3 linked regions of the Arabidopsis thaliana genome follow. The protein of the gene in region 3 binds, or shares a complex with, the protein of the main gene of each other region. Each region holds a gene or a part of one and is shown on either strand. Other genes may lie near its edges.

What was found. The genes of interacting proteins can lie anywhere in the genome.
Region 1: RPL4 (region 3) and AT5G47190 share a complex: the UniProt entries of both Arabidopsis thaliana proteins name them as parts of the 50S ribosomal subunit.
Region 2: RPL4 (region 3) and AT2G43030 share a complex: the UniProt entries of both Arabidopsis thaliana proteins name them as parts of the 50S ribosomal subunit.

Annotation. Positions count from the first base shown.
Region 1 is NC_003076.8:19,162,242-19,170,457, reverse strand, and holds AT5G47190 (Ribosomal protein L19 family protein), read left to right. Parts: upstream 1-4,322; 5' UTR 4,323-4,393; coding exon 4,394-4,423; intron 4,424-4,512; coding exon 4,513-4,842; intron 4,843-5,013; coding exon 5,014-5,100; intron 5,101-5,188; coding exon 5,189-5,322; intron 5,323-5,917; coding exon 5,918-6,026; 3' UTR 6,027-6,274; downstream 6,275-8,216. Other genes in the region: AT5G47210 (Hyaluronan / mRNA binding family), read left to right, coding at 1-195, 291-356, 439-580, 681-839, 925-972, 1,057-1,236; RAB1A (RAB GTPase homolog 1A), read right to left, coding at 1,740-1,833, 1,909-2,012, 2,107-2,262, 2,350-2,421, 2,518-2,565, 2,650-2,697, 2,920-2,992, 3,416-3,429; AT5G47180 (Plant VAMP (vesicle-associated membrane protein) family protein), read left to right, coding at 7,193-7,253, 7,606-7,676, 7,784-7,865, 7,951-8,066, 8,169-8,216. UniProt on the Arabidopsis thaliana protein: Located at the 30S-50S ribosomal subunit interface and binds directly to 23S ribosomal RNA.
Region 2 is NC_003071.7:17,890,389-17,897,824, reverse strand, and holds AT2G43030 (Ribosomal protein L3 family protein), read right to left. Parts: upstream 3,030-7,436; 5' UTR 2,928-3,029; coding exon 2,112-2,927; 3' UTR 1,943-2,111; downstream 1-1,942. Other genes in the region: NPG1 (tetratricopeptide repeat (TPR)-containing protein), read left to right, coding at 1-1,120, 1,211-1,358, 1,448-1,776; PAO2 (polyamine oxidase 2), read right to left, coding at 3,385-4,123, 4,204-4,301, 4,392-4,494, 4,590-4,675, 4,790-4,877, 4,969-5,082, 5,179-5,267, 5,353-5,468 and 1 more. UniProt on the Arabidopsis thaliana protein: One of the primary rRNA binding proteins, it binds directly near the 3'-end of the 23S rRNA, where it nucleates assembly of the 50S subunit.
Region 3 is NC_003070.9:2,245,679-2,253,561, forward strand, and holds RPL4 (ribosomal protein L4), read left to right. Parts: upstream 1-3,288; 5' UTR 3,289-3,511; coding exon 3,512-4,343; coding exon of another isoform or gene 4,344-4,348; exon of another isoform or gene 4,349-4,494; coding exon 4,495-4,511; 3' UTR 4,512-4,851; downstream 4,852-7,883. Other genes in the region: AT1G07300 (josephin protein-like protein), read right to left, coding at 236-615, 1,138-1,327; AT1G07310 (Calcium-dependent lipid-binding (CaLB domain) family protein), read right to left, coding at 2,097-3,155; AT1G07330 (dentin sialophosphoprotein), read left to right, coding at 5,453-6,590, 6,677-7,437, 7,545-7,883. UniProt on the Arabidopsis thaliana protein: This protein binds directly and specifically to 23S rRNA. May play a role in plastid transcriptional regulation.

The DNA.
Region 1 (8,216 bases), on a different chromosome or scaffold from region 3:
TGAGAATGGATTTTCTGGAGGATACAGGAGACCTTCTGAAGATGCTGATGGAGCAAGCCGTGGTGGGTCTGTTGGTGGATACCGTGTTGGCGGTGGTCGTGAAGGACCTCGCCGTGGTGGAGTTGCCAACGGGGAATCTGGTGATGTTGAACGCCCACCGAGGAATTATGACCGCCATAGCAGGACAGGTCATGGGTAAGCTTTCTTTTTGTTCTGTCCACTACTTTAGTTACTACTTTGTTTGACTTCTTCTGTTTGTGATTCATTTATGTTAACTTGATGTTTGATAGTACTGGCATGAAACGTAATGGTGGAGGTCGTGGAAACTGGGGCACTACTGAAGATGATATCCCTCCGTAAGCATCCTTGTCTTCACTTTAATTATCCATATGACTTTAACTTTAGGTTGTTTATAAACTTTTGTTGTTCTTATATTAGAACGTCTGAGGAACCTACCACAGAGGTTGAGAAGAGCCCTGTTGCTGAGAAGCAAGGAGGTGAGGATGAAACCCCTGAAGCAAAGAAAGAACTCACTGCGGAAGAGAAAGCACAGAAAGAAGCTGAAGAAGCTGAAGCCAGGGTACAATCATTTACAGCTCTTGAAACATCTTTTGAGGTTTAGTTAAGTTTGAAGTAGAATGTTTGCTAACATTTTGAACTGATATGGTTTTGTCATATAGGAGATGACTCTAGAAGAGTATGAGAAAATTCTGGAGGAGAAGAAGAAGGCTCTGCAAGCCACAAAGGTTGAGGAAAGGAAAGTTGACACCAAAGTGTTTGAGTCCATGCAACAGCTCTCTAACAAGAAGAACACCGATGAAGAAATCTTCATCAAGCTGGTCAGAAAATCATCTACTGTTCAGTTTATCTATTCCCTTCACTGTAACGGAGCAATAGTTAATACTTGGTATTTTATTGTTTCAGGGATCTGACAAGGAAAAACGCAAAGATGCTACTGAGAAGGCCAAAAAGGTCTTAGTTCTTTCTGTTCTCACTTCATGATTTCTTTTGGGTTGTGTCATTTTTTTACCTGAGTGATTTTGGGTGATTTTGTAGTCGTTGAGCATTAATGAGTTCTTGAAGCCGGCTGATGGAAAGAGGTACAACGGGAGAGGTGGAGGCTCCCGCGGAAGAGGAGGTCGCGGTGGTCGTGGTGAAGGAGGAAACCAAAGGTATGCAAAAGAAGCTGCAGCTCCGGCGATTGGAGACACAGCTCAGTTCCCTTCGTTGGGCTAGTAAAGACCCCTGGTCCTTCAGCCTCGCTATCTCTGTCTTTCGTTTCTCTTTGGTTGAATTTTGTTAGTTTTATAATTTTTTGTTACACTTTCTGAAGGTCTTTTCTGCGAAACTATTACGTTTTTTAAGTTATGAAAAAAATTATTAAGATATTTTTCTCTCTAATTTTGGTATTACACATTCGATCTTTCTTTTCGTACATCATAAATGAAGTATATTTCTAATAGCACGATATCTAGTATCTTTCATACTTGAGCGATGATTTAGAATCGTCGAAGGCATTAAAGAGTGCTCTACATTATTTGCATAAAAGACCTTTTACTATATAGAAGTTATGGGTTTCAAACTTCAACGTACATCAGAAAAGAATCGGATCAAAAGAAAGCAAATGAAAAACAAGCAAAAGGATCCAAAGAGTTGTTAATTTGGAGAAGTCTAACATGCAATGCAAACAAATGATCATAATGGTGTGATGATCGAAAGAGGAGTGGTGACTAATTGAATCAAGAAGAACAACAGCCTGATTGCTGGTTCACTGGCTGTCCACGGATCTGGACCGTTGGTGGCTTGGCACCTCCAGCTGGTTGGCTAGCCATTCTGCGAAAACAACAAAACCTTTTAAGTATGGAAGTAAAGGGTTAATGACTTCACAAGTAAAATTTAGTTTCTAACCTTGTCTTAATTGCAGCAGTCATAGCCATGAAAGCTTCTTCCACATTGGTTGCATTTTTAGCACTTGTTTCCAAGAATGGGATCCCAAGTTCATCTGCAAAAGCCTGTGGGACAAGGAGATGAGACAACAAAAATGTTATTCTCTTTAAGACAAGGTTTACGTGGATAGAGAGTTCACCTAGTTTATTATAAAATTACCTTAGCTGTCTCAGTGGATACAACTTTCTGTGAAGTGAGATCGTTCTTGTTCCCAACCAGTAGCTTGTTCACATTTTCGCTAGCGTAACGGTCAATTTCATTCAGCCATTGTTTGACGTTGTTGAAGCTCTCTAGGTCTGTGACATCATAAGTGACCTGCAAAGATAGGCAATTGTGAGCAAGAGGTATAGGATGTGTTATTTAACAAGAAGATGATTGGTTGGTTAGAGTAAGAGTACATACAATGATCCCATGAGCTCCTCTGTAGTAGCTGCTAGTGATTGTCCTGAAACGTTCTTGGCCTGCTGTGTCCCACTGTATACACAGGCGATTACCAAAACAAGAGTAACTATCTGCTCTTTCCAAAATTTTAACAGATTATGATTGCATATCTAGCTGAAGAACACTTACGATCTGGAGTTTGATGGTCTTTCCGTCCTGCTCAACTGTGCGAATTTTCTGCATGATATCATTAGTAAAGGTTAACACTTATTATTCTGATTCCTGTATATAAATGAGTGATGAGCAAATGAAGGTGCTTACAAAGTCAACACCAATGGTGCTTATGTAGCTATCCAGGTAAGAATCATCCTGTCCACATAAAATTCAAGATATCAGGAAATAAGAACACAAAGGAGTAACAATGATACCATAGTGAGAACTAAGCTAATCCAATGGAGTAATGACTTTTGAGTTTTGAGTCTTGAGCAACAGGTATTGAACTCCAAGATGTGATCCTCAAATTTTTGTGTGTACACAATGTTAAAAAGTAACTACCAGAGATGATGAATCCAGAATTGTGGGAATACTTACAGCAAATCTTAGAAGCAAGCATGATTTTCCAACACCAGAATCACCAATAAGCAGAAGCTTGAACAGATAGTCACTGCAACAACAGAACGGTAAACACCAATCTCAGTGAAGCTCATAAACTCATGAAAATTCGGGTCAGGAAATAAAAACGCAAGAACATCTATATACAATATGCTAATGAGATCAAAGGGAAAATTGTGTCACACTCGCGAATTTCAACTACAACAGTAAACAGAAATTGCAGATCTCGATCAAATTTCCTCGGATCTGACCTGTATAAGATCCATGGAACGAAAATCCAAATCTATACAAAATTCTAATACAAAATACCTTAAACGAGCAAAATTAGGTAGATTCAATTCACAAACCTAACAACCAACAAAGATCCAAAGCAAAATCGAACAAAAACCAAATCACCAAACACATCAAAAAATAAAAAACGCGGATCGATCCGAAACAATAGATACATGAAACAACGAGAAGACAAGTTTCTTACTATTCAGGATTCATTATCCCTCAACGAGAATCTGACGATTAAAGGAATCTCCGGCAGTCAATTCAGCGATCGTCGTCGGCCAAAAAAACGAGAGAGACGTGAATGTTCTTTTTTTTTTCTTCTATGTGGCTTTGGCTTATTAAGTGCTCTTTTTGTCAATGACACGGTTAAGAAAAAAGAAAAAAAGGGACCCACTCTTTTCGACATTTAAATGCGTTTTGGTTTTGATGTTTGAATGCTGACGTGGCCGAGCCAACTCAGAGAGATGCGTGGAGGACAAAAGAATCAATCAATCTTTTTTCTTCTTCTTTGTCGATTTTTGTTCTTTTCTTTTTTGATTCTATACAATCGGAGAATAACTATCTTTAGGAGATTAAAATTTCGTATCCAATTAATGTAACTTTTTATATGTATGCTAATATTACGTACTGTTGTCAAGCTTTTAATTAAACCACCTGTAAGAGAATATATATTCGTTTCACAAAGAAAGAAGATGGAATATTTTGATTATTATCTTTTTGGTATTCTGATTAAACTAACATATAATAGCTTTTCATCGCTTGCGGTGTAAGTCAATGTAACGTGAACATGTAGACGACTTGAATATACAACATAGTCACATAGAATAATATTTCAACTCCAGCAGAAATTTATTCGTCAATCATAACTTTTAAAAGGCCCAAAGTAGATTATTTAGAGCTATCAATTTAAGGACACATAAACATACATTTGTTTGTAACAGAAACTCTTTATTTAAACCATTTTTGGTTCTACATTAGTGTACTTGGACAAGCCTTGGTTCGTGGTGGTAGACTGGTAGAACCAGCTTTGGTAATGGGTTTCTTGTTATATCAATTGAATATGGGCCTAAATGTCTAGGCCCATAAAATTAGTAAATGGCCCATAAATTGAAATACACGGAGCGGATAAGCGATAAGGCTCTTCTTTACTCTGGTTTCGAGTTTGGGTTGTGCAAACATGGCGACGAGCTCTCATCTTCTTCCTCAGGTTCTTCTTCTTCACTCTCTCACGCTCAATCACATTTTCATACTTATGCTTCTTTGAATTCTGTATTTATCTACCATTTATGGAACCAGGCATTGCATATGATACCGAGAACCCCTTCTTTCTCGTCGAAGAATTTAGGGGTTTCTTCAATTCTACCACGAGCATCATCAGTGAACTCAAGACTATCAGTTTCTAGGGTTTTTCTCAATCATTCGAGCTCCAATTTTGGTTTCGCCATCGATTCCAAGAAGAGAAAAGAGTTTATCGCTAAAGCTGAAGAGAGTACTGAAGGTGAAACTGAGGCTGTTGTGGAGAATGCTGTTGAAACTGAAGCGGAAGGAGAAGGAGAAGCCACTGTTGCGGCGGAGGAAGCTAAACCTCCGTGGAAGACGAGAGTCAAGCTCGGAGATATCATGGGGGTTAGTTCATTATCCAATGTGATTCTATGAGATTGTCTAGTGTTTTGTTTTGGCTCTGAATCTGATTATACATGTCTGATACTGTAGTTGTTTTGGCTCCTGTTCTTAAATCATCAGTTATCTTTTAGGCATTGGAGAAATGAAATGTTGATTTGCTTTTTGTTTCTGTAGCTACTGAACAAGAAAGCTATTGAGGTTGCAGAGACTGTAAGACCGGTTCCTGGACTTAGGACTGGGGATATTGTAGAAATCAAACTGGTAAAACTCATTGTCCCCGTATAATCTTATGCAATTTATGCATTTAACTGCAAGATTTTGATACGACATGGTGGGTTTGATTTTACAGGAAGTTCCTGAGAACAAACGTAGGCTATCTATCTACAAAGGTATTGTGATGTCTAGACAAAATGCAGGCATCCACACTACTATCCGTATCCGGAGGATTATTGCAGGCATTGGTGTTGAAATCGTCTTTCCCATGTAAGTTTATTCTTCCTTAACTATCCTATTATCACACACTTACTCGGGTATATTGATAAGTATAAATGTAAATAGTATTAGATAGTCAGAGTTAAGGGTCTTTGACCTTGTTAAGGAGTCTTTTGGCTTTGAGAGAGATTTTAGGAACTCTAAAACAAACCGGAATTAGCTTCTTTTATCGTGAACAGTCATAGTCTTCGCTTCTTGAGAACTTAAGAGATTTACAATTCTATATCTGATCATATGTATTAGCTTTCTTCACGAAAAAAGGAAATAATTGCTACTCCAAGTATGATACTATAGGAACTAGTACATAAATGCTGGAAGTCTTAGCATTATAGGTCACCAAGCTTTGTGCTTATTTACTACAGAAACGCGCACCAACCTTTAATCTTAATCACTCTAGAGTCTAGCCGTTATCATAACATACTAGTCCCTATGAACTTTCCAGTACTATTGGCTGATTCTACAATGAAGTAATATGTAACTGATATGTTTTGATCTTGAACAGATACTAATCTACACAATCAAGTAATATGTTTTGATCTTGGTTTAGAATATGTATCTGATGTGATGTGTGTTTTGAATTTAACAGATACTCTCCCAACATAAAGGAGATAAAAGTGGTAAGTCACAGGAAAGTGAGAAGAGCAAGACTTTACTATCTGAGGGACAAACTTCCTCGTCTCTCAACTTTTAAATGATCACCAAACCCAACACCAGTCTTGTCTTGTGTTGTCTTCAATCTCCAAAGGTAGCTAGCTACTCTCTTTTCTCTTGTAATAATTGTTTGTTTGTTTCGTCTTTTGGATTTCATTTCTTTTCATGTAATTTACAGTAACAGTAATTTAAGAAAAGTAAATCAATGTTGATTGTTTTGATCTTGAGTATGTAGAATCTGGACCCTTTAGTATTCTTTTTCAGAAATATGACTGATTTAATCATTAAAATAAAACTTTTGAATCATTGAAATTGCTTTTCAAAATAGATTTTTTACATGTAAAATCATGTAATTCATTCATGTAAATGAATTTTCCAGCTAAAGCAGGAAAAAAGAAACGAATGATTGAGTATTTTTCTTGTCTCTTTCCTCTGTATGATGACTTTTATGTCCGATAATTAATTACTTGCTAACAATCAATCATTAATGGACACGGAGAAATAAATTTAAAATATCATCAATCGTGAGAGACGAAAAATGGCCTACCACCCTGAAAGCTCATTATAGCCTTTTTAGCCACTATATAAAATCAAACACCAATCAATATCTGCCACGTCATCATCCTCTTTTTTCCAGCCTGTCGCTTTTAACCTTTGTTTTTTCGTCTCTTACAATGCACAACTGTTTTCACACGTGTCACATTTTTCCCTCTCTTCTCTCTCTTTCGCTCTTTCTTCTTCCCCGCAGTTCCCGGAGACGACGCCGGAGGAAAATCGTACGGAAACTTTGCTTCGACTTCACGTGGCCGCTCCACGAAGCGCCTTTGGGTTTCGTCTTCCCCGTTTCTCTTTCTCTCTCTTCTTTTGCCTTTGTTACCACGAATAGAACGAGAGGAGAGAGATAGGAGGAGAGTTTTGGGATATTGGTGGAGAGCGATTATCGGGAGAGCCAGAGAAAAAAATAAGCAGCTTCTTCCTCCCTCATCGTTGGGACCGTGACTTTTGTTTTCTTCAGGTTTGATCCGTCTTTTTTTCCTCTCTTCATTTCTCAGTTTTTCCCCTCTTTTTACCTTTTCTGGAAAAAAGTTAGATAAAATCGGAATTGTTTGGATTAGGGCTTCGATTTTTTGATGTTGTTGTATACTTTTTTCAATAGAGATTTGATTGTGAAACTTTTGTCGTCGTAGCTTTAAGCAAACAAAAAAAAAAGATGACCGGCGTTGGCGAGAATCAGCTTATCTCCATTCAACCTGATGAACTCAAATTTCTCTGTAAGCATTCTTCTACACTCTCTTCGTTAATCAATGGCATGCATTTGTCTCATCTATACTTGGTTAATTCTAGGGATATCTATTCTTAATTTGTGAAATGTGAATGAGAAAAGGCTTCTCTCGAATTTACCATCTTTTTGTTCTCTAGAGATTTCGAAATTGTGTGTATCATCAATGCTTGTTTTCCTCTTGTTTACATACACCAGCATCAAGTTTTTGTTAACTTCTTTGAGCTTTTGAGGTTCTGACTTTAGATAAGGCTGATTCTCTTGGTTATTAAGAAAATTGCTGTTTGAAACTTTTTGGAGGGTCTTCCTTTGGATGACATTTGGAATTTTTGATTTTGTTTCAGTTGAACTTGAGAAGCAAAGCTACTGTGATCTTAAAGTTGCCAATAAAACAGAGAACTATGTTGCTTTCAAGGTAATTTCTGCATCAAACCACCAACTTCATATGCTTTGTCTTGTGATCAAGTTATTTCGTTTGTTACAATGGCTTCTTTCTTTTGTGTTTTTGGCTTCATCAATCAGGTGAAAACAACATCTCCAAAGAAGTATTTTGTAAGACCTAACACTGGTGTCATTCAGCCATGGGACTCTTGCATCATTAGAGGTATAGTAATTCCTCATACTCTAACTTCTTTCATTAGCAGTTTAAAACTTGAACATGGAGATGATTAAGATCTTCTTAATTATAGTTACTCTACAAGCGCAACGAGAGTATCCTCCAGATATGCAGTGCAAAGACAAATTTCTCCTGCAAAGTACCATTGTACCTCCACACACTGATGTGGATGAACTTCCTCAAGACACTGTAAGAAATCCAAGTTTAAAACTTTTTTTATTAAGATTCTTCTTGTTTCTGCAGTTTTTGGAAAACAAATTGACATTATATATGCAATACTTGTGTGTCTAGTTCACCAAGGACAGTGGAAAGACATTAACAGAATGTAAGCTCAAAGTC
Region 2 (7,436 bases), on a different chromosome or scaffold from region 3:
AGAAACCGTTAGCCACGCCGTTGAACTACTTCCTGCGCTATGGAAAGAATCTGGTGATTATCAAGAAGCCATATCTGCTTATAGACGCGCGCTTTTAAGCCAATGGAATCTTGATAATGATTGTTGTGCAAGGATTCAAAAAGATTTTGCAGTCTTTCTTTTACATTCTGGAGTCGAAGCGAGTCCACCGAGTTTAGGTTCTCAGATAGAGGGATCGTACATACCTAGAAACAACATAGAAGAAGCCATTCTTCTTCTAATGATTCTTTTAAAGAAGTTTAACCTCGGGAAAGCGAAATGGGATCCGTCTGTGTTTGAGCACCTTACCTTTGCGTTATCTTTATGTAGTCAGACCGCGGTTCTCGCCAAGCAGCTTGAAGAAGTAATGCCTGGTGTGTTTAGCCGTATTGAGCGTTGGAACACTTTGGCTCTTTCTTATAGTGCAGCAGGTCAAAACAGTGCTGCAGTTAACCTTCTTAGAAAGTCTCTGCATAAACACGAACAACCCGATGATCTTGTGGCGCTTTTGTTAGCTGCTAAGCTTTGCAGTGAAGAGCCTTCTTTAGCTGCTGAAGGTACGGGTTATGCGCAGAGAGCGATAAACAATGCTCAAGGTATGGATGAGCATTTGAAAGGCGTTGGTTTGAGGATGTTAGGACTTTGTTTAGGGAAACAAGCGAAGGTTCCGACATCGGATTTTGAAAGATCTCGGCTGCAATCAGAATCATTGAAAGCATTAGATGGAGCTATAGCTTTTGAGCACAATAATCCTGATTTGATCTTTGAGTTAGGTGTTCAATACGCTGAGCAACGGAACTTAAAAGCTGCTTCCCGTTACGCCAAAGAGTTCATCGATGCAACGGGAGGGTCAGTGTTAAAAGGATGGAGATTTCTCGCGCTTGTTTTGTCAGCTCAACAACGGTTTTCAGAAGCAGAAGTTGTGACTGATGCTGCTTTAGATGAAACTGCAAAGTGGGATCAGGGACCTCTCTTGAGACTCAAAGCAAAGCTGAAAATCTCTCAGTCAAATCCAACAGAAGCCGTTGAGACTTATCGTTACCTTCTTGCATTGGTTCAAGCGCAAAGGAAATCTTTCGGACCTCTCAGAACTCTTTCTCAGGTTTCAAAATCTCTTTTGTTCTCTAATCTATTGAGATCATCAATCAAAACCTTTTTTTTTTTTTATTGAAGAACTTGTACAATAACACAGATGGAGGAAGACAAAGTGAATGAGTTTGAAGTGTGGCATGGCTTGGCTTATCTTTACTCAAGCCTTTCGCATTGGAACGACGTAGAAGTCTGTCTGAAAAAAGCCGGAGAGCTGAAACAATACTCTGCTTCAATGTTGCATACAGAAGGCAAGAACAAGAAGCCATTTAACTAATCTCTTAGAATCATCCATTACTTGATTTACTCAAATTTGGTTTGAATCTTTGGGAATGATCAGGTCGAATGTGGGAAGGACGAAAGGAGTTCAAACCCGCGCTAGCAGCTTTCTTGGACGGTTTATTACTAGACGGATCATCGGTTCCTTGCAAAGTAGCGGTTGGAGCGTTATTGTCCGAAAGAGGGAAAGATCATCAGCCAACTCTCCCCGTGGCTAGAAGTTTGCTCTCTGATGCATTGAGGATCGATCCAACAAACCGAAAAGCTTGGTATTACTTAGGAATGGTTCATAAATCTGATGGACGTATAGCTGATGCTACTGATTGCTTCCAAGCTGCTTCTATGCTTGAAGAGTCTGATCCTATTGAAAGCTTCTCAACCATTCTTTAAAAATCCATCATAAAGATTTATATTCATATGTTCATTTTTTGTCTGTCATCTCATGTACAATTTTAAACCTTCTTAATTTCTTCAAACTAAATATATATTACATTGTTCGTTAGTTCTTTATGTTTAGAACTTTAGATGCTGAATTTTGGATACGCTTTCGAGTTTTGTAATCGCAGTTGAATCACAATTCAAGAACATTAGCATAGAAATACTTCCGACTTATACAAAAACTCCAATTCTAAGAAAGAAACTGTGATTTAGCAATTCGATACAAATTTTCAAGGAATGGATAAACACAAGTCAACATTACAAAACAAAACAGAGTCTCTTCTCTACTAGTTCTTGGGAATGTTAACTCCGACGATTTTAGCGGGAGTAATACGAAGAAGATTCCCAGGCTTACCAGGCAAAGCACCTTTGATCATGACAACATTAAGCTCCTTATCAACTTTAACAATCTTAAGCTTCCTAATCTTTGTCCTCGTCCCTCCCATTCTTCCAGGCATCTTCTTCCCTTTATAAACTCTTCCCGGAGTAGTACCAGCACCAATCGAACCCAAAGCTCGATGACTCTTGGAACCATGAGTCATCTGACCTCTCTTGAAATGATGCCTTTTGATTCCTCCTTGAAACCCTTTACCAATTGTGGTTCCAGCTACATCAACGAGATCACCTTCTTTGAATATCTCATCGAACACAAGCTTCTGGTTCGGTTCGAATCCTTCGATGTTTGTTAATCTGAACTCTTGGAGATGTCTCATTGGGATTGTACCGGCTTTTTGGAGATGACCGGTTTCCGGTTTAGTTAGCTTTTTGTCGCGTACACGACGGTAACCGATTTGAACCGCGTCGTAACCGTCTGTGGCTAGGGTTTTGATTTGGGTTACGATGTTACCTTCGCGGAATCCGACGACTGTTACTGGAACTACTGTGCCGTCTTCTTCGAAGAAACTCATCATCCCGAGTTTTGACCCCATTACTCCGATTCCAGCTTCCATGGATGATGAAACCACGAATCTGGTTTTTGGTGATGATTTGATGAGAAGTGAAGAGGATTTCGCCGGGAGGAAAGTGGGAGTGAAGAGTGAAGAGGATAAGGTTGTTTTGTTGAGCAGAGATGGGAAAGAAACAACCGCCATAGCTATCGCCATTGTCGGAGATTCACAGAGGAGAAGAAACTCTGAGAGAGGATAAAGCTCTGTGCCACACTCTTATCTTCTTCTCCAGTTATGAAATTTATTATTATACCGCTGAAGATACTCATATTTACAAAACACGGTGGTTTACCTTTTGCAACATCGGTCCTTTAAATCTGATTTTATTCATTTTGTATTTTTTCTTCTTATTGTATTCAATTTAACCTCTTTCAAGATTGGTGTTTATATTAGTTAGCACAAGTGAGAAAAGAAAATAGTACTTGAATTCTTAAAGATGATTATCATATATAAATAATATCACAAGGATATAATGTTCCAATTTATTGAATTAAAAACACTGAGAAAATAAGACTGGGAATGTTTTAAACGATCCGACACGAGAATAATTTTAGTTTCATATTAAGACAATCATCACTTGAGGTTCCTTCTAGTAAACGATAACTGATGGAGTTTAGAGACGAGATATAAGAAGAGGTACAGAGGCAGGTCCTTCCTCGCCCATCACAGGCTGGAACAGATCCAACTCACCATACCGCTCCAGAACTCGCATCCTACAATCTTCAGCTGCCATCAATCCAGTTGAATAAGCGCCGTGAACCGAGCCCGGGAAGCTCGAGCTCGTCGCTTCACCGGCAAAGAATAAGTTATCCACTGGAACCCTAAGCCTCTCGTAGAGATCATGAGGTTTGCCCACGATATCATAGCTATAAGATCCCATTGAATTCACATCAGATCCCCACCTCGACACGAGATACTGTACCGGAGGCAATGCATCGGGAAGAATTCTCTGGAGTTGCAAGACGGCGAAATTTGCAGCTGCTTCATCAGACATTTTCTCAATGTCTTTGGCAAGCTGACCAGCCGGCATGTAAACCAGAACCGGATGACCCGTGGCCTTGTGCAGGTTCAAAAAATAACTGCAACCGTAGGAGGTTTCAGCTACCACTCCTAGAAACTCTACTTTCGGCCAAAAGACTTTCTCAAAATGTAGTATGATCTTGTTCTCAATACCTACTCCTAGGTCGTTGATTGCTTCTTGTTTCCACTCAGGTAGCTTAGGTTCGAACTTTATGGTTCCCGATTTTAAAACTCCAAGAGGGACAGCAATGACTGCAGCATCCGCAACAAAAGTTTGCCCGTTTTCTGTCGTTACCTTCACTCCATTGTACCGCCTGACAATCTTAGTAACCCTGAGAGAAGGAGAAACACGAGGTTATGACTGTGAAACACTAAACGAATGCCATAACTCTTGAAAAACGCAAAAGCTTACCTGTGGCCTACTCGGATATCAAGACCTTTCGCCAGAGTATTGATGACAGGACGATACCCTCTAACCATAAGACCGTGTCCACCAGGCAACAATTCCTCCTGCACATTTCTCGGAGTGTTAAACCAAAAATTCAAGAAGCAGTCTATACAAAAAAAACTCTTAACTACGAGAGAAAGAATGTAACTAACCTGGTCCCAACACTTTGCAGAGATGGTTTCAGCATCTGCGGCAAACCATCCTTCCATGCGGCATACATACCATTGAAGTACGTTGTGTGCAAGCCCCTCTAACCTGGATGTGAAAATTCAAAATTCAACCATGAAACCAAGCTTGCAAAAGTGCATTGCCTAAAGAAATTGAGAAAATGAGACATTATGTATACAAACCTCAGCTCGGGTTTCCTAGAAAAGACAATTGAGAAAGCCTGAGAAATTGAAATGTCAGCATCCTGCTCATCCCTGACTTTATTGATCTGTGTTTGCAATAGACGAATCTAGTTAGCATGAGCATCAATCAAAGACTTGCAACATCAAGAAATACGAGAATAGGAATAAAGAAGAAATCTAAATGAATGTGAAGGACATACCTCTTCCAAAATACGCTCAAACGTTACGCCAATCTGAGTTACCAATTCTTGAGGAACTTGGTTGCCATCCATATCAAACAGAGCATAGCTACAGAAACAAAAGAATTGCACTGTGAGTTTTAAGGTGTCAAACAAGAATAAAAAGATGGAGGTAACAAAATCGAAATATTCAAGCAAACCTCTCGAGATCATGATCATACAGGACGGAATTGTCACCGCTAGTACGATACAAGGGCAGTCCAAGTCTTCCAATAACTGGTGCGAGAGGATTCTCCTTGCATACTCCATGCAGCCTGTGACATAACGATGTTGCTGTGTTAGCCTAAAGTTAACCAAAAACCAAAACCAAAACATCATCTAATGACAGGATGAAAGAGCCGTGAGATTACCATGATGCACCAAGATCAACAGGAAAACCAAATGAGTAATCAGTGTGAACTCGTCCACCAATTCTGTCACGGGACTCCAGTACCATAACCTAAACACCAAGAACCACACCGTGAGAAAGAGATATCAAAATCAGCTATCAGGATATATTGTATAAAACATGAAACATCACAAACCTGAAAGGAAGCATCCTGAAGAGTGCGAGCAGCTGAAATCCCACCGAAACCACCTCCGATCACAATCACGGAGGGCGACCTTGTCTTCATCCTCTCACCAGCTGAAAAGCAATTAGCTATATGAAAACAAAGCACACGAATTAACGACCGTCCAAAGTCCAATAAAGTATCAATTCTTCTAACAAAGAAACAATAGTGATTATCAGAATTAAACAACCCCACAAAAACAAAACTTGTGGCAATCAGCAGATACATCCAAACAAGTAAACGCCACGAAGGAATCAAATCACCGACAGAGAATTCAGCACGAGGGATAAAATTGAGGACCCATTAAAAAAAAAATCAAATTTTGTTTGATAAACCAAATTACCCAGATTATAATCTAGAGTAAGAACCCTAGATCCTTCCTATACATCAACGATAACAATCCGTAAGCGATTTCACAAAAAAGTAACAGACTTTTCGATGGAGGTTGAAGAAAACAGTACCTCTACGCATTTGACGATCAGAGTTTTTCCTGGACTCCATGATTTTTTTTTCAATTGATCAAACGATTACTCTCGAGATTATTGGAATTACGATTACTATTATTATTATTATTATTACTATTAAGCTGGGGAGAGAAATGAAGAATAAAGATGAGAAGACAAGTCGTGAAGTGGCTCGAAATCGAAGATGAAAAAATCAGGCTTCCAAACAAATTCATGCGATTTTCTTCAGGATTTTTAAACCCCCTCTCTGTTTTTGGTTTTTGTTCACCCTGTTTACTCAGCCGGACAGTATCAACGCAGATCTACGACGATCGGCGATATCTGATTCGTAATTCAAGCGAGCAATGGGGGCCAAAGGATCAAAATTCCCAGAAAAGCCAGAAACGAGGAAGAAGAGCTAGAGAGAGAGAGAGAAAGATGAAAACAGAGAGACTTCTAGAGAGAGAAAACAAAAAAAGGTCGGATTTTTTAGGCTTTGGGTCGGTAAAGTAGGTTAGGTTGTAATTTATAATAACGCATATGCTCCCTAATTATCAATATAATTATTAATTTTCTTATTGGATATAGATCTTTTATTGTAGTTTTTTTAGTAATTTTTATTTATTAAATACCTTAAGATTAATTATTTAATTATTTTAATATTAAAAGAGTTAAATTCAGTCAAAGATTTAAGATATACAATTAACAATTTCAAGATATGAACAAATTATTGGTAAATAATTTAGAACTAAAATTAGATAAGTAGTTCATTTCTATATTATTTGCTAATTATATAGCTTCTAGTATATGTTAATATTACTTTTTCAAAATTTAAATATTTTCTTTTATCAATAACAAAAATTGTGAATTTAGTTCTCTGTTATCACGTGTTCGTTTCGGTAAGCTTGATAAGTTACGTAACTTATCAAGTGGTCCAGTAGGAGCACGTGTCGTGCATTTATACGTTTTCCATCAAATTAAAATGTCAACACGTCAGCTTTTATGTCTGTATCTGGTAAATAATAAATATTTTGTTTCTTAAGACCTGACGATGTAAATTCTTTTAAAAAAGGTTTCTAGACGATTCTAATGATTTTAATAGGTATGATATTGATAGCTATGATGAGTTTCGTAAGAATTGAAGACGAACTTTTACCATAAAATTCCAACGTTTACTGGATTTTTATCCTTTTTTTAAGAAATTTTTAGTTTAATTCCATGAGCTATGATTTACGAGTAAATTACTCAAATGCAATTTAAAAACTCAAATACTTAAATACAATTATCTGGGCTTGATGGCTGAGTTTAGTTATTGTTAAAGCTAATATTTTTTTGACATTGATAATGATTTTGAATTATTGACATGATGTTATAACTTTCTTAGTAGTTTTTTGTGTGGATAGTAATAAAAATGTTTTTCTAAAGATAAACAAAAAAGTGGTGGTACTATTTGTGTAGCTTTTTTCTGCTGATACTATTTGCGTTTCTTTTCAAGCAAAAAACTACAATTTACAATGGATTTTGATAAGTGTGCGATATATACAAAATTAGATCACATGGAAGATCAGTATTCCTATAATCCTATTTCTCTTCTTTATTTGAGATGGTGACATT
Region 3 (7,883 bases):
ATAAAACAGAAGTGGCTTATCCTTGTAACTAATCATGAACAAATACGAATATCAAAATCTAATATTTATAGACAGAAATTGAGAAAGATGGAAGACAGTTACTCGTACTACAACAACAGAAGTCACATAATAGATTTATGTAGACATTATTTACATGCAACTCTCACGAATAAGTAAAATAGACAATACGCGAGCGAGCGAGCGACCGAGACAAAAGGTTTGGGAATGATAACACTTAAGAAGTAGAGTTTGATCTGGTGAAGGAGGATGATGAGTTGATGAACTGTATGCAGTCTTCTATGGCCTCTGATCGATGACTGTCATTGTTTATTGGGATGATTGGTGGCTGAGACCTCCCAGAAAAAGAAGAAACCTTCGACGGTGGAGATCTTTTCTTCTTCCTCATCACCACCAGACGCAAACCTTTTGCAAATTTGCATCCAAGATGCTTGATCAATTTTGCTGCTGTCACTTCTGTTTTCCTCGGTAACCTTAATCCGCAGCTTGTTGTGCATCCCGGACTCTTACCATAAGGTCCCTTGATAGCTGTTTGCTTAGCCGAAGCATCTCTCTGAACCGGTCTAGTGTTGAGGTTGGACCGTTTTATACCAGTAGCTGACATATCAAGAGAAAGATAGAGAGAGTGAGAGAAGTTTATGGGAAACAATATGAGGATAATGAGAGATATTTAACGGACTGGTGCTGAGAACAGTTGTGCTGATAGTTCAGGCAAATACGGGAAAAGACATGAAATGATTAATGATGTATATTATCTATAACATCATTACGCTTAGGCCATGATTAAGCACTCAAGACATAAACAAATAAACAACTAACAAAAAAGTGTAACTTCAATCTTATTTTAGACCCTATATATAAAAAGACTTGTAGTTAAAGTGGATCTACAAATTTATAAAGAGAACTATGCCCAAGAGCAAAAAGAGAAGACTAGGTTTAGTTTTTTCTATTTTTCTTTACGGTCCACAGAGGGAATAAACCCTTTGTTTAAGTGAAGAAAAAGGTTAAGCAACCATTTGGTATCATTCTTCTTTGATGATCACTCATGTGTGCACATAAGTTACATAACAATCTAAAAAAGTTTCTTTTTGACTCCAGGAGAGGCCAATATAATCTTACCTTTATGGATGCAGATTCCTTTCATGAGTCTGCGGCTACAATAAAAAGGAGGGATCAAGGAAAGAACAAAAAAACAAGTTAATGGTGGGTACAAGAATATGAGAAAGCATATAATAAACCAGGGAGTGTCAGGACATAAATAGAAGATCACACAATCTGGAGAATAGAGTGATTTTACATGTGAAAACATTCCATTGAGAACAGAACAATAATACCTGCATGATTGTCAGTGATTAGATGCAAATAGCATGAGATTGACTGATATGTATAGCAGGTTACCAAAATGCCAAAAGGGAAAAGAATGCAATAGCAAAACTGCTCTGTCTCATCGTTATAACAAGAGCACAATAGACTTAGCACCAACCGTGTACATACCATTTTACCCAAAACGATCAGAGAGAACATCTTTTCTGCACTGTGATGAGCATGATTCAAGACACATTAATCCAAACGCTCAATGAATATGGAGATCACTGGTTCCAAACGAAAATCACACATTGGTATCATCAAACATGAAATAAGAACCAAAGTCTTTAACCAGCCTGCAAAAATATTCGGCAGAATCGCAGGATATAGGACTGTTCATGTCTGAGACAGAGCATACTACCATACCTAATCAGAGCATGGTTCAAACAATAAATCAACAGTAAAGTGATTCACATTAGAACATTAACCCTAAGAACCCAATAGCTTGATTCAAGAAACTGAATGAAGGAAAGAAATGAGAGATGTTTTAGAAACATGTACAAAGGTACAGAAGGGGTAACACCGAATATCAGCTAGAAAGAAGCAACAAATCAATTCACAAACGAGACATACATATAGACATAACATATACTTCACCAAATTCATATTTTGTCATCAGCCATTTCCTGGTGTTCTAACACCAACAAATCTGATGATAAGTAAAGCCTTAGAAACGCCGCACACTTGTGAAATTCAACAACTTTTTGCCATCCTCAACATTCACGGCGATAATCACGGCCATAGCTGTAGTTTGGCCTAGCTCCGAAATCACTCTCAGACCTCTCTGCAGCAGCTCTCTCTTCCTCTAAGCTCAATCCACCCATCGTCTTCTGCAACTGCCTGTGATCATAAGGAGAGTAATCGACTGGTGCCGATGGACCATTAGGCACTCCGTAGCTAGACAATCGCGAGCCCATAGGTGGAGCTTGTGGCTTGTACTCGGTAACCAGAAAGGCATCAACGGGTGCTGAGGGCCCACTAGGCGGTGGACCGTAGTTAGAAAACCGAGGAGGAGCTAAAGGAGGCTGCTTGTGATCAATCGATGAGAAGGCATCAACGGGAGCAGATGGGCCACTTGGGAGGCCGTAATTGGAGGCACGATCGTACATTGAACGTGGTGGAGGAGGCGGATAATAATACCCGGAATAGTAGTGATCAGTGAATGCGTAAGGAGACGGAGACGGTGACTGTGAGAATTCTCTGTAGTCACGCTGAGGAGATGGAGCGGTGATCGGTGCTTGAGGAGGAGGAGGAGGAGGAGGGCTAGGGGAGTAATAATGGTTTCCTTGAGGGGCAGAATAGTAATCTAGTGGTTGAGATTGAGGACGTGGCGGAGGATGCTGCGGTGGAGGGATTGGTCTGTCTTTGATCGCGAGCTTCAAACGAATCTTCCCCTGTGGTCGACCCGATGGACGAACCAGCTCGAGCGAGTTGATCAATTCCGGAATCATTGACCCGTCCGAGTCAATCAAACGAGCTAGAGGAAACCTAACCGATCCGACGAGGGTTTTCGCCAGATCCGAAGAATTGGAATGAAAAACCTCGATGTTGAGGACCGATTCGTGGACAGATCGGGTGAGAGGAAGAGTAATCCGCTCGTTCCACACCGGTTTGATGGAGGAGGAATCATCGGAGCGGGTGGAGAGAGGGTGGTCTTGGTCAAGATACAGAACAACGTAGGGTTTCAGGTCACCGTTACGCCAGTTGACATTCTTCAGGTGCTTGGCAGAGACGACGGTGACAACCAGGTCGAGTGGCTCCGACGAAGTCATGAATACGGTGCGTTTCAAGACGAGACGGTGGCTTACGCGGTGGTCTTAGCTAACGTGCGCTCGTATCTCAAATATCTGTATCAAAGTCTCAGCTATCATCAACTATCATCGTTTTATCACAGAGTTTTATGTCTCAAAAAACCTGCTGGCTATATAAGAGGCTTTTGACTTTTGGAGTTTGACTCTTTCTTACTAGCGACAGCTGGAGTTATTCATGAACAGGATAGTTATATCCTTATGTCCAAACAGATGCATAAATTCTCACCAAGCACAAGATAGGCATTTGAAGAGTGGATAACACTTTCTCAGTCTTTCTTCTTCTTCTTCGTTGTGATAGGTCAGGTCAGGGAACAACAATGGCTTCTTCTGCAACAGCACCAAATTCGCTATCTTTCTTCTCATCTTCTCTCTTTTTATCCTCCTCTCACCAAATCCCTAAAACCTACATTTCCGTTTCAAAACTCGGCTCCGGCAGAGTCTCGAAGCCGCTTTCTGTCTCTTCCCAGCTAGCGACTCTACCGATTCTATCATTCGAAGGAGAGAAGGTCGGAGAGACGTATCTAGACCTCAAAGCGGCGCCGGAGGATACCGCGCGTGCCGTTGTGCACCGAGCCATCGTGACGGACCTGAATAACAAGCGGCGAGGTACTGCTTCCACACTGACTCGCGGTGAAGTTCGTGGTGGTGGAATTAAACCTTACTCACAGAAGAAAACTGGCCACGCGAGGCGTGGATCTCAGAGAACACCGTTACGTCCCGGTGGAGGTGTGGTGTTTGGGCCAAGACCTAAGGATTGGTCAATTAAAATCAATAGGAAGGAGAAGAAGCTAGCGATATCTACGGCGTTATCGAGTGCGGCATCTGCGGAAGGTGGTGCGATAGTGGTGGAGGAATTTGGGGAGAAGTTTGAGAAGCCCAAGACTAAAGATTTCTTAGCTGCGATGCAAAGGTGGGGATTGGATCCCAAGGAGAAAGCTATGTTCTTGATGATTGATGTGGATGAGAATGTGGCGAAATCGAGTAGGAACATTGGAACCTTGAGGATGTTGACGCCTAGGACACTGAATCTGTTTGATATTTTGAACGCTGATAAGCTTGTTCTGACTCCTGCGGCTGTGGAGTTCTTGAATGCGAGGTACGGTGTTGATGCGGTGGAGGAAGAAGATGACGATGAAGATGAGACGGAAGGTTAGTGTTTTCTTGAAAGGAACTGGCTTGTTGTCGAAATTTGATGTTTTGAATGTTGTGTTTGATCGTTTTTGTCTGGTTTTAATTTCTTGAAGAGGTAGAAATATGATGTGTTAATATGGAAAAGTAATTATTTGTTTGTGTTATGAAGGGTCAGAGGAAGCTTAAGAATGAGTAGCACCCGTAGTTCCAATTGCTTCAAGTGTGGCTTAATTATGAGTTTAATCTTGAGTACATCTTCTCACTCTCCTTGATGAGGTCTTCTCTTTCCTTTTTGTGTCACAACAAGAGAAATGTGTATTTACTTTTAGAGTTTTTCTTAAGAGATCATCCTCAATTTCTTGTCATACTGATTTTGTGTCCAACTCTCAATGAAGGAGTAAGGAGTGAAATTAGATATCATGAGTAACGTTGATTGTGTGTGTATCAGTTAAGATTGAGCAACAAAGATTGACTTTAGTCATCAAGTTAACAAGAAAGAGTGGCTATTATAAGCTTTAAGCGTTGATGTTCATCTTGGTTTTGAAAATCATGAATAGTCTCACACAAATCTGTTAACAACTTGCTAAAAAAAAGGATTAGCTAGAAAACTTAGGAAGTGTCAATAGTGTATGTTATTTACAGACATTTGATGGGTCTTGGTGGGCTTAAGAAGATAGCCCAATCTTTTGAAGAAAGAGATATGAGATGCAAAATCCATGAACTTTAAGGGTCAATTTCTGAACCAGTAAAAAATGTGGTTAAAAGTGTAAGAAAACAAGAATCTTTGGAAACATGTGTAAGAAAGCAACTAATTTAACTCCCGCCCTCTCTTACCAGTTTTCTATTTTGTCTTCTCCGTCCTTACCGTGTGTTCTGAAAACTGAAAAAGAACCAAAACGAAAATCTAAAAAAACCCTTGAAAAATCTATTTTTTATTGACTGGTTATTGTTTCAAATGAAAGCTTGACCTCTCTCTTATTGATCAATTTTCGCTTCTTCAATTAAACCATATTTGTTTTTCCCTTTCAAGCATTTTGATTCTCTAGGACAAAACACAAACCGCCATAGACAGAATGCTTTGGGTTATTATCTCTCAAAGTGTTCTGAGAATTTGAACTGTTTAAAACATGGGAATCGATGCCAAAGATGTCGGAACTCTGTTCTGGAAAATTCTCAGATTTTCCACGAACATCGTTTATAGAAACGTAAGGAATCACCCAGTTGTTTCTGGTGTTTCTGCAATTATCTTCCTCCTATACATTTTTCTTCCACGCCTTTTTTATTTCGTCCTTTACTCTTCTCCGTTAATCGCATGCTCTGTGTTTTATCTTCGGAATCATCCAAGTTTTAAGCTTTTGCATATCAAAACGGATAATTGGTTTTCACCATTTTCCCAAAAGAGATCTGAGGAGGAAGAAACAAGGAAGGCTGACTTAAAGCACCAACGAAGTGTTCGACGAAACGCTAGAAGGAAAGTTGAAGAGGTTGGGAAAGATTGGGACTCTTCTCAGGCTAGTGAAGATGAGAGAGACAGAGTCATTTTAACAACTCTCTATGGTGAAATTCCCAATACTGCAAAATCTCCCAAACTTCAGAAATTCAAGAAAGATGGAGCCTTTCTTGTGTCTGAAGGTTTCTCCTTTGAGCCTAGCTTAGATGAAGAAACTCTTTCAACCACCGGGAATGTTTCCGTTGTGGATCCATCGGAGAGGTTGACTAGTGGTGGTGGCGAAACCGAGATCGAGTGTTCATCGTCATCAGAAGGCGAAGAAGAAGAAGAAACTACACGTGAAGACAAAAAGATTGTAGCTTGGACAGAGGATGATCAAAAGAATTTGATGGATTTAGGAAACTCTGAGATGGAACGTAACAAGAGGTTAGAGCATTTGATTACTAGAAGAAGAATGAGGAGATTAGTCCGACTTGCCGCTGAGAGTAGCTTAATGGATATGGAAGTTCCTCCAGTCTGTGTTGGACGGAACTATTTCGGTTTGGATCAAGAAAACTATATAGTTGATGGTCTTCAAATGCCTGAATCTGCACCTTCTGTGTTATTACCAACTAAAAACCCTTTTGATATTCCTTATGATCCACAAGAAGAGAAGCCTAACCTCTCAGGAGATAGTTTTCAGCAAGAGTTTGCAGCCAACCCTAATGATATCTTCTTCTGCCGCCATGAAAGCTTTTGTCGCAGAGTCTTTCCATTGGACAATCAGCTTGACACGAAATGGGAACCGTGGAAAAAGAAGTCAATACCACAACAAGGTACATCCTCTTGTCATTCTGAAAAATGTTGTAGCTTACAAAGTAAATGATTCTAAGTTCTACAATTCTGATCCTTGCTCATGTAGGTAGCAATGATGGATTGGTTGGGGAGAAACATCCTGTAATGAAAGGAAAAGATCTAACAAGAGGAGAAGTAAATGATATGGAGTCAGAACACATGACAGAGATTGTTGTTAGTGATTCAAACTCATTGCTTTCTCCTGAAGACAGGGAAATGAATTCTGATGTCTCAAATCAAGCATATTTTTCTGGAACTTCTGGGAAAGGAAATGGTGATCTTCGTGTTGAAAACCCTTTAGTTGGTTTAGTTCCTAGAAACACTGGTTCGCTTTCGAGTTCTTTAGCAGCGGAAAGGCAAAGATACGTGGAGCATTTTGGTTATAGCTCAAAAAAAGGTCATAAGTTATCTGTAGAATCTGATCTTCAAGTTGAGGTTTCTGAAATTGGATCACCTCCCACTACAGTTGATGGGAATAATTCTTCTGATGAAGAAAAATCACGTATTGTCAACGAATCAGACATTGGGAAGGAGACGGGATTTAGTGGTGAGGAGAGCATTGTGGATAGAACTGAAGAAACTCAAATGTTACCAGTGGAGAAAGTTGATAAAGATTTAAATGAAACGATTTCTAAGGTCTCTCCAGAAACTTATGTAGCCAAACAAGTTGAGGGTCTGTCTGATGGTACTGATATCAACGGAAGATCTGAGGAAGAAGAGAGCTCAAAATCCGGACGCTTTCCACTGGAAAATTCAGACAAAGGATTCTATATACATGAAGAGTCAACAGTTCCTCACATCAATGAAGTTATTTCGAGAAGAGAAGAGGTTATATAGTTCTTGTTCTTGTCAGGTTTTATGGAAATATGATTGCTACTTGCAATGTGTTTCTCAAAATGTTGAATTTGAATATATTCCTTGTACCGTTATGACAGGAACGTGTCCAAAACTTGACTGATGAGATGAAGATAAATGATGACTCTGATGAACCTGAAGCCTTTGAAAGAAGAACAAATCAAGAACCCCAAGAACATTTTGGGGGAAATGATGGAGACCAATCAACTCAAGAGTTGCAAGAACTTGTGGAACCTGAAGTTTCAAATGTGAACAATGTCACATCAGACGAGTCTGCTACTTCCCCAAGATCAGTGTTACCAGACATGTTGTTATCTTTAGACCAGACTTATACTCTGACTTCTGAGAGTTTGGAACATACATTAGATAGTCAACCTCCGCCAGTGATTCCATATCCGGAATCTCCACAGAATCAATCA